Linked DNA regions of Pelodiscus sinensis. The protein of the gene in region 2 binds, or shares a complex with, the protein of the main gene of each other region. Links are inferred from orthologs where the notes say so. Each region holds a gene or a part of one and is shown on either strand. Other genes may lie near its edges.

Region 1 (7,519 bases), on a different chromosome or scaffold from region 2:
CACACAGGGCTGGGGAGGCATCACCTAGACTAGGGCTCATGAGGGGAGAGACTAGGCTGGGTGCTGAATGGGAGGTGCACGGGCAAATTGGGATGGGGGGACAGAGTGGTGGCTAAGTGGGAGTACAGGGACACATGGGAATGGGTGTGTGTGCAGGGACTAGGAATGTAAAATCCCATTTAATCAGTTTACCAGTTAAATGTGAGGTTTAACTGGTTTTAAGTGGGATCCCAGGTGGGGGACTGTCCCATCCCGGCTGAAGCAGCCCCCATCCCACAGGGCTGTCAGCTCTGTGGGCTGCTTCTACCTGGGCCCCACACGGGGCTCCTGGCTTCACGTGAGGCTGCCAGCTCTCACCCCAGTCTGCAGCGAGTGGACCTGGCAGGGCTGGAGTAGCCCTCCACCCGCAGTGGGCCATTAGCAGCTCCCAGGCTCCGGTTAACCGTTATCTTGTAAGCCTCACCCAGTTATCCATTCACATCCATAGCAGGGAAACATGAGGCTTGGAGAGGAGGGGTTGTTGAGAGGGAGTGAAGGGACAGATGGGGATGGGCAAATATGTCTGAATGAATAGGAGAGTTGAGGGGTCAACTAGGGTCTACATGGAGGAGGCTCCCCAATTCCCTAACGCTCCCCCTCCCAAATAAAAAACTATTAGGCAATTCCCAGCCATTACTTCCCTCTCCTTTAACTCCTCCATTACCCCTCACTCCCTCAAGCCTTTGAGCTGCTTCTGAGGGACGCGGGAAATACATTTCTATATTGTCGTTTAAATGAATTATTACTCAAAGCTCTTTATTAATGTACCTAGTAAGGAATCCATTTGTCAAAAAACATTTCCTTAATCTTCTTGTCTTTATTGTCGCAGACATAGTTGCTGACAGGTATTTTCAAATAAATTACCAAAAGAATTGAAACTGGTGTGATTGTTAATTTGACAAATAAAATATAGACAATTTTAAAATATTGTGCACATAACTTTTAATTTTTGGAACAGAATTTCCCCAGTAGTACATAGAGCATTAATGTATAACTCGTGCAACTTAAAGGCTATATGCTGCAGCTGAGAAAGCAAAAAGGGAATAAAAATAACTAATCTGGAAAGATAAGCTTTATATTCCTAATAGCCTCAATGATAAAGTTCAATAAATACTGAGTTACAAAAGCACCATTTCTTTGTTTGTGATAGAACGATGAACATATGCTGACACGGAAGAGGTCACTTACTGGAAAATGATAAATTACTTTCATAGTGCTTGGAAAGTTGTCTGTGTGAAGGGTTCAATCGTAGGCACTGACTTTTCTTTCTGTCAGTAGGTGTTTTTGAAGAGGAGTGTGCACTTGGGGAGATACCCTGTCAGTTTTGGGGGAGGCTATTTTCACAATATATTTAAACACTTTCATATTTTAATTATTGAATGTGCCTATTATTGGCATCTTTACTTTTGTAAGAATGATTCAATTATTATGAATTACATAATTAGATGATCATGAATTATTGTATATTAAAATTATTGCAATCACCTACATGTTGTCTTCACTAACATCCCAGTTTAAAGACATATCTCACTGTAGCTTTCCGGATAAAACTGCAAGCAATCTAATTTACATCTAGGTTCCCTGCTATTGTTTTGGTGCATGTTAAGGACGCTAAGAAATTATTCATTTGTGCCTATCCCATTGATGACTGGAGATAATTTTTAAGTGTTCTGAAGCTGCAGAACGAGTTCAGGATGATTCAGGCACAAAGAGAAAGATTCTATGAATCTGCAGTACTCTACAGCAAATGACTCCAAAATCTCTTTGTTGATGAGTAACAGCCAATTTAGGCACCAATATTTTGTCGGTATAGTAGGAATGATATTTTACTACATGCATTACTTTGCATGTAACATAGAAGTTCAACTGTCACTTTGTTGCTAAGTCACCCAATTTTGTGAGATCCCTTTGGAATTCTTTGATGTCTGTTTTAGACTTAGCTATCTTGAGTAATTTTGTATCATCTGTAAACTTTGGCACCTCAGTTGATCCTTTCTGAAGATCATTTTTGGATATGCTGAATACCACGGGTCTCAGTACAAGCTCCTTGGGGACACCACTCTTTATCTTTCTGAGAATGGATTATTTATTCCTATGGTTTGTTTCCTGTCTTTTAACTGGAGTACATGAGACTGCTTTCAGGATCATCTAATGATTCTTAATTAATGACAAGCGTTTTGTTATCTTAATCATCCTGTTCTGTATATAAACAAACTCCCTGCCCCAAGGGCAGAGGTTGTTAGCAGCACAGAACTCATCACATTCCACAATCCAGCTCTGGTCCTGGGTACTGAGCATCCACTATTTTTTTTGGGTGGGTGTCTGAGCCCTGGAGCACCCATAGAGTCGCCCCTATTGGTAGGATGAAAGGACAGGGATACTGAAATAAATCTGATATGTGAAATGAAACGAGTTCCAAAAACCTGTCTAACCAAGGCACCAAACCAAGATTCAGTAGAATGAAAGAAGTCACCTAACCCTGAATTATGGGAAGAGAACAACCTCTGAAGCAGAGCATCTACTTTCATGTTTTGTAAAAAACCTTGGGACCTGTCAGTCAAGGGCTTCTTCTCCTTTAGTAAAGCCAGATGCAGACAGGCAGGTATCTCCCTCCCTCAGATGCAGACCCCTGAGAATCACTTCAGAGCAGCAAAACCAGAGGCAAAGTGGAGGGCATAGTCCTCATGGACAGGAATTACGCTTCAGCATCTGATCTGCTGGGGATGCGTGTTAGTGATGCGCCAATTAACTGTGGCAGGCTAGGGTTGGGCCTGTAGTCTCCAAGGAATCCTGGCATAGACAGCGATACCCTAGCCAGAGTGAAGTCTTCCGTAGCTATTGGTTGTGATTAGATCTGAACGGGTTGTCCTGAGTCTAGCTCCTAAGAGTAGTGGGAAGGCTCATCACACCCTGTTATTTCTGAAACATACACAGCAATAACCTGGACAAAACTTATTGAATTAACTTTAGATACCTTAAGAGTTCATTGTATTAAAATTGCAACTGTTTATGTTAAAATTATGGGCCAAACAAGATTGAATTTTTAGTTAAATGTGTTTCCTTGAAAATACTTAGGAAGAGAGGAAGGCAAATTACCCACCTCTAGACCCAGTCTTTTGAAACTGCACCCTGAGGATGCGACTTTTTTTTCCTGATCACCTTTTTCGTGAGGACAAGAACAGAGGCCTAACCTGTATAATGGCATGACTCACAGAGATGCTTGTTCTGGGTTCAAAGCTGTTACACGTTTGTGATCACAGAAAATCCCCTTGGTGGGATGTAAGAGACTGATCAGCTTGGATGTAGGGAGCCTTTGCTGGGAGAGGGCAGGCGAGCTGATTGTCACGTGAGAAGACTCTTGTTTCTGTATGATACTTTTCATTTTACGAATACATGTACCTGCTCAGAGGAAAGACCACAGAGCTGTTCTGGCACAAACCCAAGTCAGCAAGGAGGGTTTTTACCTGGACAGGCGTCCCCAGGCGTGCTTGGGAACTCAGTCTAGATGGGCGCGGCGCAGCCTGGACCATCCCAGTCAGAAGAAGCAAGGCAGGTCTGTGCCCAAGGGGGCAATGGCTGCAAGCTGGGAGCCTAATGTGGGTACCCGGGGGGGGGGTTGCCCCAAAGGGAGAAAGGGGGGGACTGAGTCCTGCCACCCCAAAGATCCCAACTGGACTGGGGGGGAAGTAGGAGCTGGGGGGTGGGCCGGCTTGTGTCAGCCCCGGGGCCCGGCTAGGAGCGGGGGGGGGGGGGGGTCCCGTCAGCCCCGGGGCCCGGCTAGGAGCGGGGGGGGGGTCCCGTCAGCCCCGGGGCCCGGCTAGGAGCGGGGGGGGGGTCCCGTCAGCCCCGGGGCCCGGCTGGGAGCGGGGGGGGGTCCCTGGCTGGGAGCGGGGGGGGTCCCCGTCAGCCCCGGGGCCTGGGGTCCGTAGGGGGTGGAGAGCGGGCCCGGCTGGGAGCCGGTGGCCCCGTTTCGCCTCTTGCGGCCAGCCGGGCGCAGGGAGCCGGCTCCCCCCGGCACCGCTCTGTCCCCCCCGCCCATGGGCTCGCCCGTTCCGCCGGCCGTTAACGGCTGGAGAACGGCATTGCTCCCCCCCCTCCCTTGCGCCGGCGCACTTCGAACCAGACGCCCCGCCCCTTTGTCCCGCGCCCGCGGGCAGCCTATCACCCCGCCGCACCCAGCGCTTCCCGCGGGAAGGGGGCTGCGCGCACGCGCCGTCTGGGCCTCCGTCCTGCTCCACCGGCGCGTGCACTCTCGCGAGAGCGGGGGGACAGGCCGGAAATCCTGACGCGGCCTGGCGGTGGTGTGGCTGCGCGGGAGAGGTCCGCCAGCCCGCCTGACGGGGGGAGGGCGGGAAGGAGCAGACGAGCAGCGGCCCCGCGAGCGGCTAGAGCGGCCCCGCTTCCCCCTCCACGCCCCGGCCCGCGCCCTCTGTGCGCCTGTGAGGAGACGGCCCTGGCGGAGAGAGCAGGTGCCGTGGGGAGGCCCCGTTATACACCCCCGGCGGGAGCGGGAGCGGGGGGGGGGGAAGGGCGGGATTAGGGGGGAGCAGGGGAGGGGGTCTGAGGATGGAAGGGGGAGGGGACTTGAGGAAGGGGGGGTGGAAGAGTGCAAGGGGGTCTGGAGAAGGGGGAGGGGAGAGTGCAAGGGGGAGCGGGTCTGGGGGAGGGGGTCTGGAGAAGGGGGGGTGGGAGAGTGCAAGGGGGAGGGGGTCCTCAGGAAGGGAGGCCCTGAGGGGGGTGAAAGGGGAAGGAATAGGAAAGGCTGCAGTGGGGAGCAGAACCCAAGAGACCCCATGGCTATTGAGGGTGCAGTCAGTGGGGGGCATTGGGATGCAGAAAGTTGCCCATGGATTATTTTTGTGGCTTTTTATTTCTGTTGTGAGAAATGTAACTTCCGCTTCCTGAAGGAAGGTGGAAAGTCGCTGGTAGTTATTTCACTGCCCTCCTGTGGCCTGATTCAGCCCCTTCTCTTAAAGAAGGATTTACCTGTCCCTTCATGAGACAGTCCCAGGCAAAGAGCAACTGCTTGCTGCTGGATAATTTCGTGGAAGCCTTGTTCCCTTCCCAGATCACAGGTGTGCCCTCTTTCTCGAGAACAGTAGCATTCAGACTTCTTGCAGTGTGAATCTGCCACCAGTCAGAAGTAGATGTAGACTTCAGCTTTGCCTGTGTATCCCATTCCTGAGTTGCCCACAAATCCTTGGAGGCTTGATTGGGGCTGCCAACAAGTATGCCATTTATGTGGAGACCTGCCCACTAATAATTAGCCATGGATAGTATCTCATCTTTTAAAGGCTGCCAACAAGCCAAAGTTTCAACACCATAATTACAAGGGTGGTATATTTCCCCTTCTATGTATCACGGCATTAAAAGAATTCTGGGAAAGCTAGAGTTGGCAAGAACCGAAAGGCCTACACTGATGACATTAAACTTAAAAACAGTAGTTCCTTGACAGGTAAAACAATATTGATCAGTATCTGCTTTTATAAAGCTTTTGATGGACTGTTTGGCTTCACTGCAGCTTCTGTAAATAACTCTAGATGCTTTGCATGTTGTTTCTAGGTATAATATTGGTTCTCGTCTACCCCTGGTTTTCATACTGCTTTAACTATCAGCATAATCCCCTTAGGGAGTGCAGTTATACCAATGTATTTTGTCTCATAAATGTATTAGAATAATCTTAACTGTTAATACTGTCCACACAAGTGGTTGTACTGATGTAATATTATCAGCATACAACCACAATCCTTAATGGAATAGTTAAACTTCTGCAAAATCTTTGTAGAACAGGTCTTGGGGAATTGAAACAGAGCAGCACACATCTTACAAATAACAGTGTAGTAAGAAGCTATTTATTCTCACTTTCTAGCCCTAAGAGAAAAACACTGTAGCAAAAGCAATACTAAATTAAGGTATTAGTTCTAAGACTGATAAACTGGGTTTAATGAGTTAATTGAGTAGTGGATTAGGAATTTCCATTGACTATTTGATTAGTCGTTAAAGGGGGCAACGGCAGAGCTGCAGCACGGTTAGCTCCCTGCCCTGGGAGCTGCCCGGCTCTTACTACATTTAAAAGGCAGACCTGCAGCGGGGGACTGGGTGCGAGCCGGGACAGCTGAGTCCTGGCTTGCGCCCATTTGCCTGCTGCACCTCTGCCTCCCCTGCAAAGATGGTGCTGGGGGGGAACCTGCTTTTAAGCTGGCTCCCCCCAGCACTGGCTCCTGTTCCCCCCCCCCCCCATTGCTGCCTCTGATAGAGGCAGCAACAGGGGGGAGTAGTGACTCCACTAGTCACTTACATCCCTAATTAGTTTTCTTTAGGTTTGCAAAAATAGGCCTTATACTTGAAGTGTGCAGACTTGTTTCAGTTGGACTTAGTAATCCTGGATATCTTCTGCCAATTTAAAACAGAAGTTTACTGCATATTACAAAAATGTTCTAAAAGCAGAAAAGAATTTATTTTAATAACTCAGATATGCCAGCTGAAAGGGATACTCCAGACTAGAAACATTCCATACTAACTCACTGTCTGTATTTTTGTTCTGATTTGTTGAGATGTATTAATGCAAAGTAGCATGTTTGTGTGTGTTCACTGCGCTATGCCAGTTAGGTTTTACACTACCCTACTTACTTTCCAATTTTGATATTAGGTGCTTCTACTCCAATTCCTGCAAGATGCCAGCAGCACTTGTGGAGAACAGTCAGGTTATATGTGAAGTATGGGCAAACAATCTGGAAGAGGAGATGAGGAAAATTCGAGAAATAGTTCTCAGCTACAGCTACATTGCAATGGTAAATATGCTGTACTTCAGTGATCATCTGCTGACTAACCTGAGAATTTCAGTGTGGGTAGCTTACTCACTTATTCATAAATATAAGCATTCCAGGGTCCGTTTAAGCTGAATATTAAGGGGGAACAGTTGGAAAGAAGCTTGGCATTTAAAATTTTACATGACTTTTTAAAAATACATGGTCTTCTTCCAATATCTTGCTTAGAGTTTTTGTAGATTCTCTGAAATCACGTAAGTAGACAGTGCGGATTGAGGGCATGCTGAACAGATGAAATCTGTAAATACTTTTTTTGTTCATACAATAGAGTTTAAAAACATGCCTACTTGGTTCTAAGCTGTTTAATGTAGTTAGCATATTTTTAATTTGAATGGCAGGTTCATATTGGCTTCCTGCTGATATATGGCAACAGGCACACAAGTCACAACGTGTTAGCTAATAGGATTACTCTCTTTTTGTAATAAGGCAGCAGTGCCTGATCAGGAAAGAGAATGATTTTGGCTTGAGCCTGATTTTGACTTGTTCTGATAAATGTATAAAAGACCCAAGAATTTTGTTGACACACAGTTTTGGGAAGGGAATTTTGTAGCAGGAGCTTTCAGTCCTTCAAAACAAAACCATGTGTTTTATCTTCACTAAGTGTCTCTAAACCCCAAGATATCCAAATTCCCTTACAAGGTCACACATCCGTT
Region 2 (8,094 bases):
CTTTTTCCAATGCCAATATATTTTTTTTAGATGAGGCAACCACATTTGTACGCAGCATTCAAGATGTGGGCATACCATGGATTTATACAGAGGCAATAAGATGTTCTCTGTCTTATTCTCTATTTTTTTTTTAATTATTCCCAACATTCTGTTTGCTTTTTTGACTACTGCTGCACGTTGAGTGGATATTTTCAGAGAACTATCCACAATGACTCTACAATCTCTCTGGAGTCGTAACAGCTAATTTAGTCCCCATCATTTTGTATGTGTAGTTGGGATTATGTTTTCCAATATGCATTACTTTGCATTTATCAACATTAAAATTAATTTGCCTTTTGCTGCCCAATCTCCTAGTTTTGTGAAATCCTTTTGAAGCTCTTCACAGTCTGCTTTGGTCTTAACTATTTTGAGCAGTTTAGTATCATCTACAAATGTTGCCCCCTCACTGTTTGCCCCTTTTTCCAGATCATTTATGAATATGTTGAATAGGACTGGCCCCAGTACAGACCCCTGTGGGACCCCACTAGTTACCTCACTCCATTCTGAAAACTGTCCATTATTCCTATCCTTTTTTTCCTATCTTTTAACCAGTTATCAAGCCCTGAGAGAACCTCCCCTCTTATCCCATGACAAGTTACTTAAGAACCTTTGGTGAGGGACCTTGTCAAAGGCTTCCTGGAACTCTAAGTACACTGTGCTCACTGGATCCCCCTTGTCCACATGCATCAGTACATGCATCTGACAAAGTGAGTCTTTGCCCATGAAAGCTTATGATCCAATAAATCTGTTAGGCTACGTCTACACTGGCCCCTTTTCCGGAAGGGGCATGTAAATTTCACCAGTCGTAGTAGGGAAATGCGCGGGGGATTTAAATATCCCCCGCGGCATTTAAATAAAAATGTCCGCCGCTTTTTTCCGGCTTTTAAAAAAGCCGGAAAAGAGCGTCTACACTGGCCCCGATCCTCCGGAAAAAGCGCCCTTTTCCGGAGGCTCTTATTCCTACTTCAAAGTAGGAATAAGAGCCTCCGGAAAAGGGCGCTTTTTCCGGAGGATCGGGGCCAGTGTAGACGCTCTTTTCCGGCTTTTTTAAAAGCCGGAAAAAAGCGGCGGACATTTTTATTTAAATGCCGCGGGGGATATTTAAATCCCCCGCGCATTTCCCTACTACGACTGGTGAAATTTACATGCCCCTTCCGGAAAAGGGGCCAGTGTAGACGTAGCCCAAGTCTATAAGGTGCCACAGGACGTGTTGTTGTTTATGCAGATTCAGATTAACATTGCTACCCTTCTGATACTTGTCCACATGCTTGTTGATGCCCACAAAGAACTCTAGTAGATTAGTAAGGCATGATTTCCCTTTACAGAAACCATGTTGACTTTTCCCAACAAACTATGTTCATCTATGTGTCTGACAATTCTATTCTTTACTATTGGTTAAACTAAGTTGCCTGGTACTGACATCAGACTTATTTTATACCCAATACTTGCTTTTTTGGTTAACTAAATATTTTCAGTACAGGAAGAATTTAAGGATGGCCTTCAAATCTTCCACTCTCCCCTAAAATAAGTACAGCAGAGAAGAATTTCAACCACATGACCATTCAAGGTCAAACCTATTACAACACACAAAAAACTCTTATGACTTAACAGCATTCATCATCATCCATATTCTCCAGCCACCAGTTGTGACTCGTTTAAACTATATTATAAAGTCTCTTTGGGACAAAGATAATCTTTTACTTTATATCTGCATCTAGCACTATGGGGCCCCAACCTGACTGTGGCTTCTAGACACCACTAACAAATAAAAAAGTAATTTTGACAAGTATGAAGAGCTGCCAGTTACTGAAGCGAGAGAAAGATTTAGTTCAATTTGCCTCTATAACATGACAGTAGGATCTCCCAAATCTGCAGATGAAGAGGTTTCTGATTAATCTGAACCGGAAGACAGAAAAAAGGCCTAAAACTCCTCCTAATGTTTCCTGTCCCAAAATATGAATATCATCAAGTGCACACATTTTACTTATCGCCTTATAGTTGGTATGAACCTTATTTTTCTGACAGCAAGAGCTATCAAAGCTCCAAAAGGAAGTGGTGAAAATCAAGTTTCTTGGCACACTAATAACCTAGACTGGACAGAAGTGTAGTTGATGTACAACAGTGAAGAGTTTTGCACCTGGACTAAGGGTATATTTACACTGGAAATGTTCAGCACTTCCACTGGAAAAAGTACTAGTGTAGTAGAAAAGGCATACGTGACCTAATAAATCGCCACACAGATGGTCTGAAAGTTTGTCAAATAAGCAAAAAGAGTTTAAAAAAGCGAATACAAAATAACAAGATACTATATAGTGTTTGGTTCATTTTACTTTCATGTCTTAAGCATTTTCATTTCTTCCCAATAATTGGTTTGTCCACTCCTGCCTTGGCATTCTACCCAATGATACACCTGAATACTGTAAAGTATGTTTATACAAAAGGATTAATGTTCTAGAAATGAAAACCAAGAAACAGTAACAGAGGGAAGTCTGTGAGATACTTAGTAGTCTTTGAGATGAAAGCTGTTCACAAAAGGGAACAATCCATGCATTGCTCATATAAAACACCTTGATATCTGAAGTACCTGAAATGTCTTTGGAATTCCTCCAACATTGTAGTGAACGACTAAACTCACTTTGTTGTCCTTCTCCACAATTTCAAAGCTTCCTTCTTTCCATTTTGTAATCCCAGTTTGCATGCTGCGCATCCGTACAGGCCCATGCACCTTCAGTGGAGCCATTTTTCTTGCAGATAAATAACTTAAAACAGTTGAACTAAATTTACTTCACTTTGAATCCTGTTAAAAATAAGAAAAATTAAAATTGGCAACTAGCAAATAAAAGTATCTGCATAAAGTGTAAAAATCAGGAACAGCATTTTTTGCAGGAGTCTAGAAAAAATAGAATACAGTAAATGAAATATGTATTAGGAAATCTTCCATAATTTGGCCAGCATTACTTTAAGCCAGTGGTCTCCAGACTCTTCAGGGTTCATGCTCCTTACCCAGACTGGGGGCAAAACTGTGGCTAAGGGGAGGAAATGTAGACAAAAGTAAGGAACCTGAGGCTGTGGTCACAGTTGGAGGCCAGACTCAGGGGCATGAGTAGAGCTGAGGCCTTGATGTGGGGAATGCCTCGCACCTTGGGGAACTCTGTTTTAATCCCTAAATATTTAACACTGAGTGAGATGACTCAGTACAAACAGTGAAAGATCTTGCAAGTCTAAGAATGACATTTACAGAGTTACCAAAACAAATTGATCTTGAGCTAAGAGCAAGCAGGGAAAGATGAGGGGGAAAAGACAACAAATTTTCCAAGAAACCATTTGGTTTCCAAAATTGGACAATAAAACCTCTAATGAGAAACTGACTTTTTATAATAAAATTTATTCTTTGTATTTGCAAGTTTTACTTATTGTCACCTCAACGTCACCTGTTTCTCTCTCTCAGCCACCTGTTGCATCTTGTCATTGATCTAGATTATCATCTTTTGGTTATAGATTGTGTTTTGATATTGGTACAGCACTTTGTACAACGAGACTCCAACTTGACTGAGGCTGCTAAGCAACGTTAATACAAATTACTAAAACAATGTGACAAATTACTCTTTAAATAATCCACATTTTGATAGGAACTGTCTGATTAAAACCAACGAAGGAAGGAAGCTTTGCATAGGATCACACACACAGCCCTTTTCTATTTAACTTTTGAGGGGGATGCAGTTCAATACAAGCTAGGGACACGCAAGCGACAATCACCAGGCAGCAGGGCTCGCAATGGTTCAAGTGCGAAGGGCGTTTCTTTCGGGGCAGTGAGCGGGTGCACGGCAGAGTCCGGGGAAGGGGAGGCCGTTCCTGCACAGGCCGAGAAGCGGCATCACAGGCCCGTGCCCAGGGCAGGGCGGCTCTGCGGGGCGAGCCCGACAGGCACAGGGGCCAGCTGGGTCCCCGCGCGCTCAGAGCGCCACACCGCGCACGTGCCGCGCCCCGCGCGCTCACCGGCAAAACCCACCGGGGGGGGCGGGGGGGAGACGGGGCAGCGGTCACGTGGGGGCAGCCCAGCGCGAGGGGCACCTGTGGCGCGCGCGGAGGGCAGCGGGCCCCAGGGACTGAGCAGCGCGCGGCCGGGCTCTGCCCCCCCCCCGGGGCTCTGCCCCGCGCGCCGGGGGGGGGGGGAGAGTGACCCACTCGCCCCGCCCCCCCACCTGCCGTGCCCGGACAGCGCCCCGCCCGGGCGGGGGAAGGGCTCGGCCGGGCTGACCGGGGGCTCTCGCGGCTGCAGGCGGCCGGAGGGGGAGGGGGCAGCTGAGGGGGCCCGTGGGGGCGGGGGCCGCGGCTCGCTACCTGCCGCTCGGGTCCCGCGAGGCCCCGCCGGGCGCTGCGCTCGCTCCTCAGGGAGGCAGATGGCGGGAAGCGGGCAGCCGCGCGAGACGCCCCGCGCGAGACGCGGCACGTACGGCACGCGCGCGCGGTGGCGTCACGGCGCTGCGCGCAGGCTCGCCGCGGGCCCTCCGCCGCCCCGCAGAGCGCGCCCTGCTCGCCCACAAGCCGCCGCGCGCAGGCGCCTCACCCTCCCCCCCCCCGGCGCGGAGCACGTGACGGGGTGAGAGGGCGGAGGGCAGGGGTCAGGGCGGCGCGCAGGCGGCCTGGGCCCCATGGCGACGGCAGCGGCCTCCTGATCCCGGGCCCGGGCGGCGGCGGCTCCGAACATGCACAGCCTGGCCACGGCCGCGGTGAGTCCCCCCGCCCCCCCCCTCCGGCCGGGCCCCTGCGGGCAGCGACGCGGGGCCGGGGGGGCTCCCCGCGGGCGGGCCCGGGCACAGACCCCGCCCCCCCGGCGGGCTTCAAAACGGCGGCAGCACGAGGCGGCGCTTCCCGCACGGGCGGAGTCGCTGCGGGCCGGAGGGGCCTGGAGATCCGCCCGGCCCGGCCCTCGTGGCGGCCCCGCGCCCCCCGCAGCCTCCCCTGCGGCCAGGGAAGCCCCGAGCCTCCGGCCTGGCCCAGGGCCCCTCCCCCTCCCCTAGCCGCTCTGGACAGCTGGTGCCCTGCCCAGCTCGGTCTCCCCTAGCCCGGACTCCACATCGCGCCGCCGCGCAGTGAGTCAGGAGCGCGCGAAATGGTGAAACGGCGGCGGGGTCGCGGTTTTCATGGGTCCTTTCAAACCGTGCGAGGGGGCTGAGGGCGCCTTTGAACAAGTCTCCCAGAGCTTTGACAAACCAGGACTAGGCAGCACTTTACAGACTCACAGGATGGTTTATTAGATGATGAGCTTTCGTGGGCCAGACCCACTTCCTCAGATCAAAGAGTGGAAGAAAATTGTCAGAACCATAGATACCAAAGGGTTGTGACAATTTTCTTCCACTATTTGATCTGAGGAAGTGGGTCTGGCCCACCAAAGCTCATCACCTAATAAACCATCTTGTGAGTCTTTATACTGCTGCATAGCCTGGTGTAGCTGAAACAAAGAACAGGACTAACACGGCTACATTTCTATCACTATCCCATAGCTTTGTGCGCTGTGATCGAATATACTTCAGGTTCATTCTCCTGCTATTTACATTTGGTAAATGCAGCTGTCTGCAGGGGGGGGCTGCACTACACAACGCTATCCTTGGTTGAGCAAGGTGGAGCACTGGCCTTTTACGACGAGACCACCAGTACAGTCTGTATTTAGAGTGCTAATCTGAAAAGAACATAACGTAACAAAGGGGAGGTCCAGAGAATGGAGCAAACACAATAAAAACAGACAACTTGATATAGAAGCATGAGCGTGAACTTACAAATCAGTCAGTGCCTTGCAATATTGTTGTTAAATAAAGGCTTCATATTGGTGTTACCGTGTTGAAAATCTAACAATATAGGCAGAAAATAGACAATTGTATGTATGTATTGATGTTTTTACCTAGAATGCTTCAAGGCAGTTGCCAGTTGGAGACTGTTTCTTAAATTATGTAAAATCAAATCTGCTATGTAATAGGGATGTAAGCGACTAGCCTGGCAGCTCTTAATACATTTAAAAGGCAGAGCCGCAGTGGGATTAGCTGCCCGGGGCCGGGAGCTAACCCCATTGCAGCTCTGCAGTCCCGCCCCCCCCATCAACTAATCGACTAGTTGATTAAGTGCAATTTACATCCTTATTATGTAATAGTCAGAGTTGCAGTTTGGCAGACACTGTGTCCTGAGCTCTTCAGTGATCCACAAATGGTCAGTGTGTATGGTGTTTTAAAACAGCTATGACCTCACTCTTGCATGCATGAAGCACAGCAGAGTGCATTAGTAAGATCAATATGTATCTGCAATGTTTGTGATATTTGGCATTACCCAAGATCCTAGGGAAGGAGAATGATACCTTCAGCCTTGAGAACAGCAGTTTAAAAATTAGATGATTTTATCAACAACCGCATGAAATATAGGTGGGATGTACAGAGAAAAATAACATCAGATGGGAATCTGTATGATCTGTGGGGAGAAATTTGATTCTTACTGAGGAAGGCACTGAACACTGTGGATGTATGCCTGCGTTGCTAAGGAGTGAGTGTATTTGAACTGTTAACGTGAACTGAAGCTTTCAATATGTCTAGTGAATTAGGCCTGAACGTATAGCTCTCCAAGAGCCTGCCATCATAAACAAACACAAAGTAGACTTTCCCATTTTCCCTGTATTTCTAAGCCCCCTTATAGGGAGTGCTAATAGGATTACACTTGTCACAGTTCACCATGCTCACGAAATATCCTGGCTTCAGGATCTGAAAAAGAATCTGGAAAACAGACAAGAGAGTCAGAGAAGGATTGATTTGAGGAAAGTTGAAGAGTTAAAATGTATGGCGAGCTTTGCAGGGCAGGGATCAAGTGTGGATAATACATCTATAGATCATCTGATGGCACTAAATAAATACTTTCCTAAGTTAATAAGAGCAAACAGTTAATAAGTCTACAGGTTCTTGATCCTATAAATACCAAAGGTGAGAGAGTTAGTTAGAATGTGCATGGTATATAATGGGATTGAATGGATGAAACAGAGGGAAAAATTTTCGAAATGTCAAGAAACACTTGCTGATATTGAGAAGCGAGTCTGTAGAATGGTATCCCAAAGACTTAGTCCCTAATATGCATCTCTAACCTCTACAGTTCGGTAAAGATTGATCCCAGTTGTATAGTTTCACTTCTAGTACTAGCTGGTTTCACTTCATAGTTCTTGAGCATGACGAATTGTAGAGGAGATTGCAAGGGAATACTTAAACCCAAATACACTGCAACTAGTTGGCTTAACGTTCAAGAAAATAGTCCTATTGAGATCTAGTTAAACCTAAATTTTGAGCTTAAACTACCAAGCTGCTACTTTACTTAGTGCAAGAGAATTTAGTTTATATCGCTGTTTTAAAGAGCATTTGAAAGATCATGAAACTTTGTTTTTAATGAAAGTTTAACTTCTCTGAAAAGGAAATCCCAGAGATCTTAAAATCCTGGGTTCCCCAGTGTGATTCTTTTATTTCTGAGACTTCACTGTCTGTGTTACCCTTTCACTGATTTTGTGGAGAAGGGGGATGGAAATAACTTTTAAAACTGTCCTGCTTAATCTTAAAAAGATTTTTTGAGTGTAGGTACAGATTTACCCTTCTCGGTTGTAGTCTGGGAAGAATTTTTCTCACAAAGCAAAGTATCAGGGAGTTCCCTTTGAGAGAGATACTTAGGGAAGTGGCTGAGGTTCTTGGGAACACAAGCAAGATGAACAGGGTGGATTTGTGCAACACCTATTTGTAGCACAATGTCTCTCTAGCAATACTTTTTTAAATTCTTCATTGTATAAAACATGAGAATTTTTTTTCTTTTATGTGGGACCCTTATTTTAATGTAGATTTGAGTGAGCATTGCTGGTGTTGAAAAGCTGCTGCTTTAAGTATTTCGGAGGTTATAAAAGCAGTGGAATCTAAATAAAAGTATTTTTCTGTACTTTTAAGTAATCCTTTAAATCTGTTTTTATTATGCTTGCACTTGAGTCTGTGGATACTTAAGGTAGACAAGGCTGGTGCCGTGATCTAGCACAGATTTCCACTGGAG

The links.
Region 1: CNOT9 (region 2) and CNOT8 share a complex: the UniProt entries of both Homo sapiens proteins name them as parts of the CCR4-NOT complex. The link is inferred for Pelodiscus sinensis from reciprocal best matches to the Homo sapiens genes CNOT9 and CNOT8.

Annotation. Positions count from the first base shown.
Region 1 is NC_134727.1:38,148,523-38,156,041, forward strand, and holds the start of CNOT8 (CCR4-NOT transcription complex subunit 8), read left to right. Parts: upstream 1-4,276; 5' UTR 4,277-4,508; intron 4,509-5,107; 5' UTR 5,108-5,267; intron 5,268-5,396; exon of another isoform or gene 5,397-5,494; intron 5,495-6,688; 5' UTR 6,689-6,713; coding exon 6,714-6,830; intron 6,831-7,519. Other genes in the region: FAXDC2 (fatty acid hydroxylase domain-containing protein 2), read right to left, coding at 3,504-3,569. UniProt on the Homo sapiens protein: Has 3'-5' poly(A) exoribonuclease activity for synthetic poly(A) RNA substrate. Its function seems to be partially redundant with that of CNOT7.
Region 2 is NC_134717.1:924,472-932,565, reverse strand, and holds the start of CNOT9 (CCR4-NOT transcription complex subunit 9), read left to right. Parts: upstream 1-4,617; 5' UTR 4,618-4,745; coding exon 4,746-4,769; intron 4,770-4,976; exon of another isoform or gene 4,977-5,132; intron 5,133-8,094. Other genes in the region: USP37 (ubiquitin carboxyl-terminal hydrolase 37), read right to left, coding at 2,624-2,779. UniProt on the Homo sapiens protein: Component of the CCR4-NOT complex which is one of the major cellular mRNA deadenylases and is linked to various cellular processes including bulk mRNA degradation, miRNA-mediated repression, translational repression during translational initiation and general transcription regulation.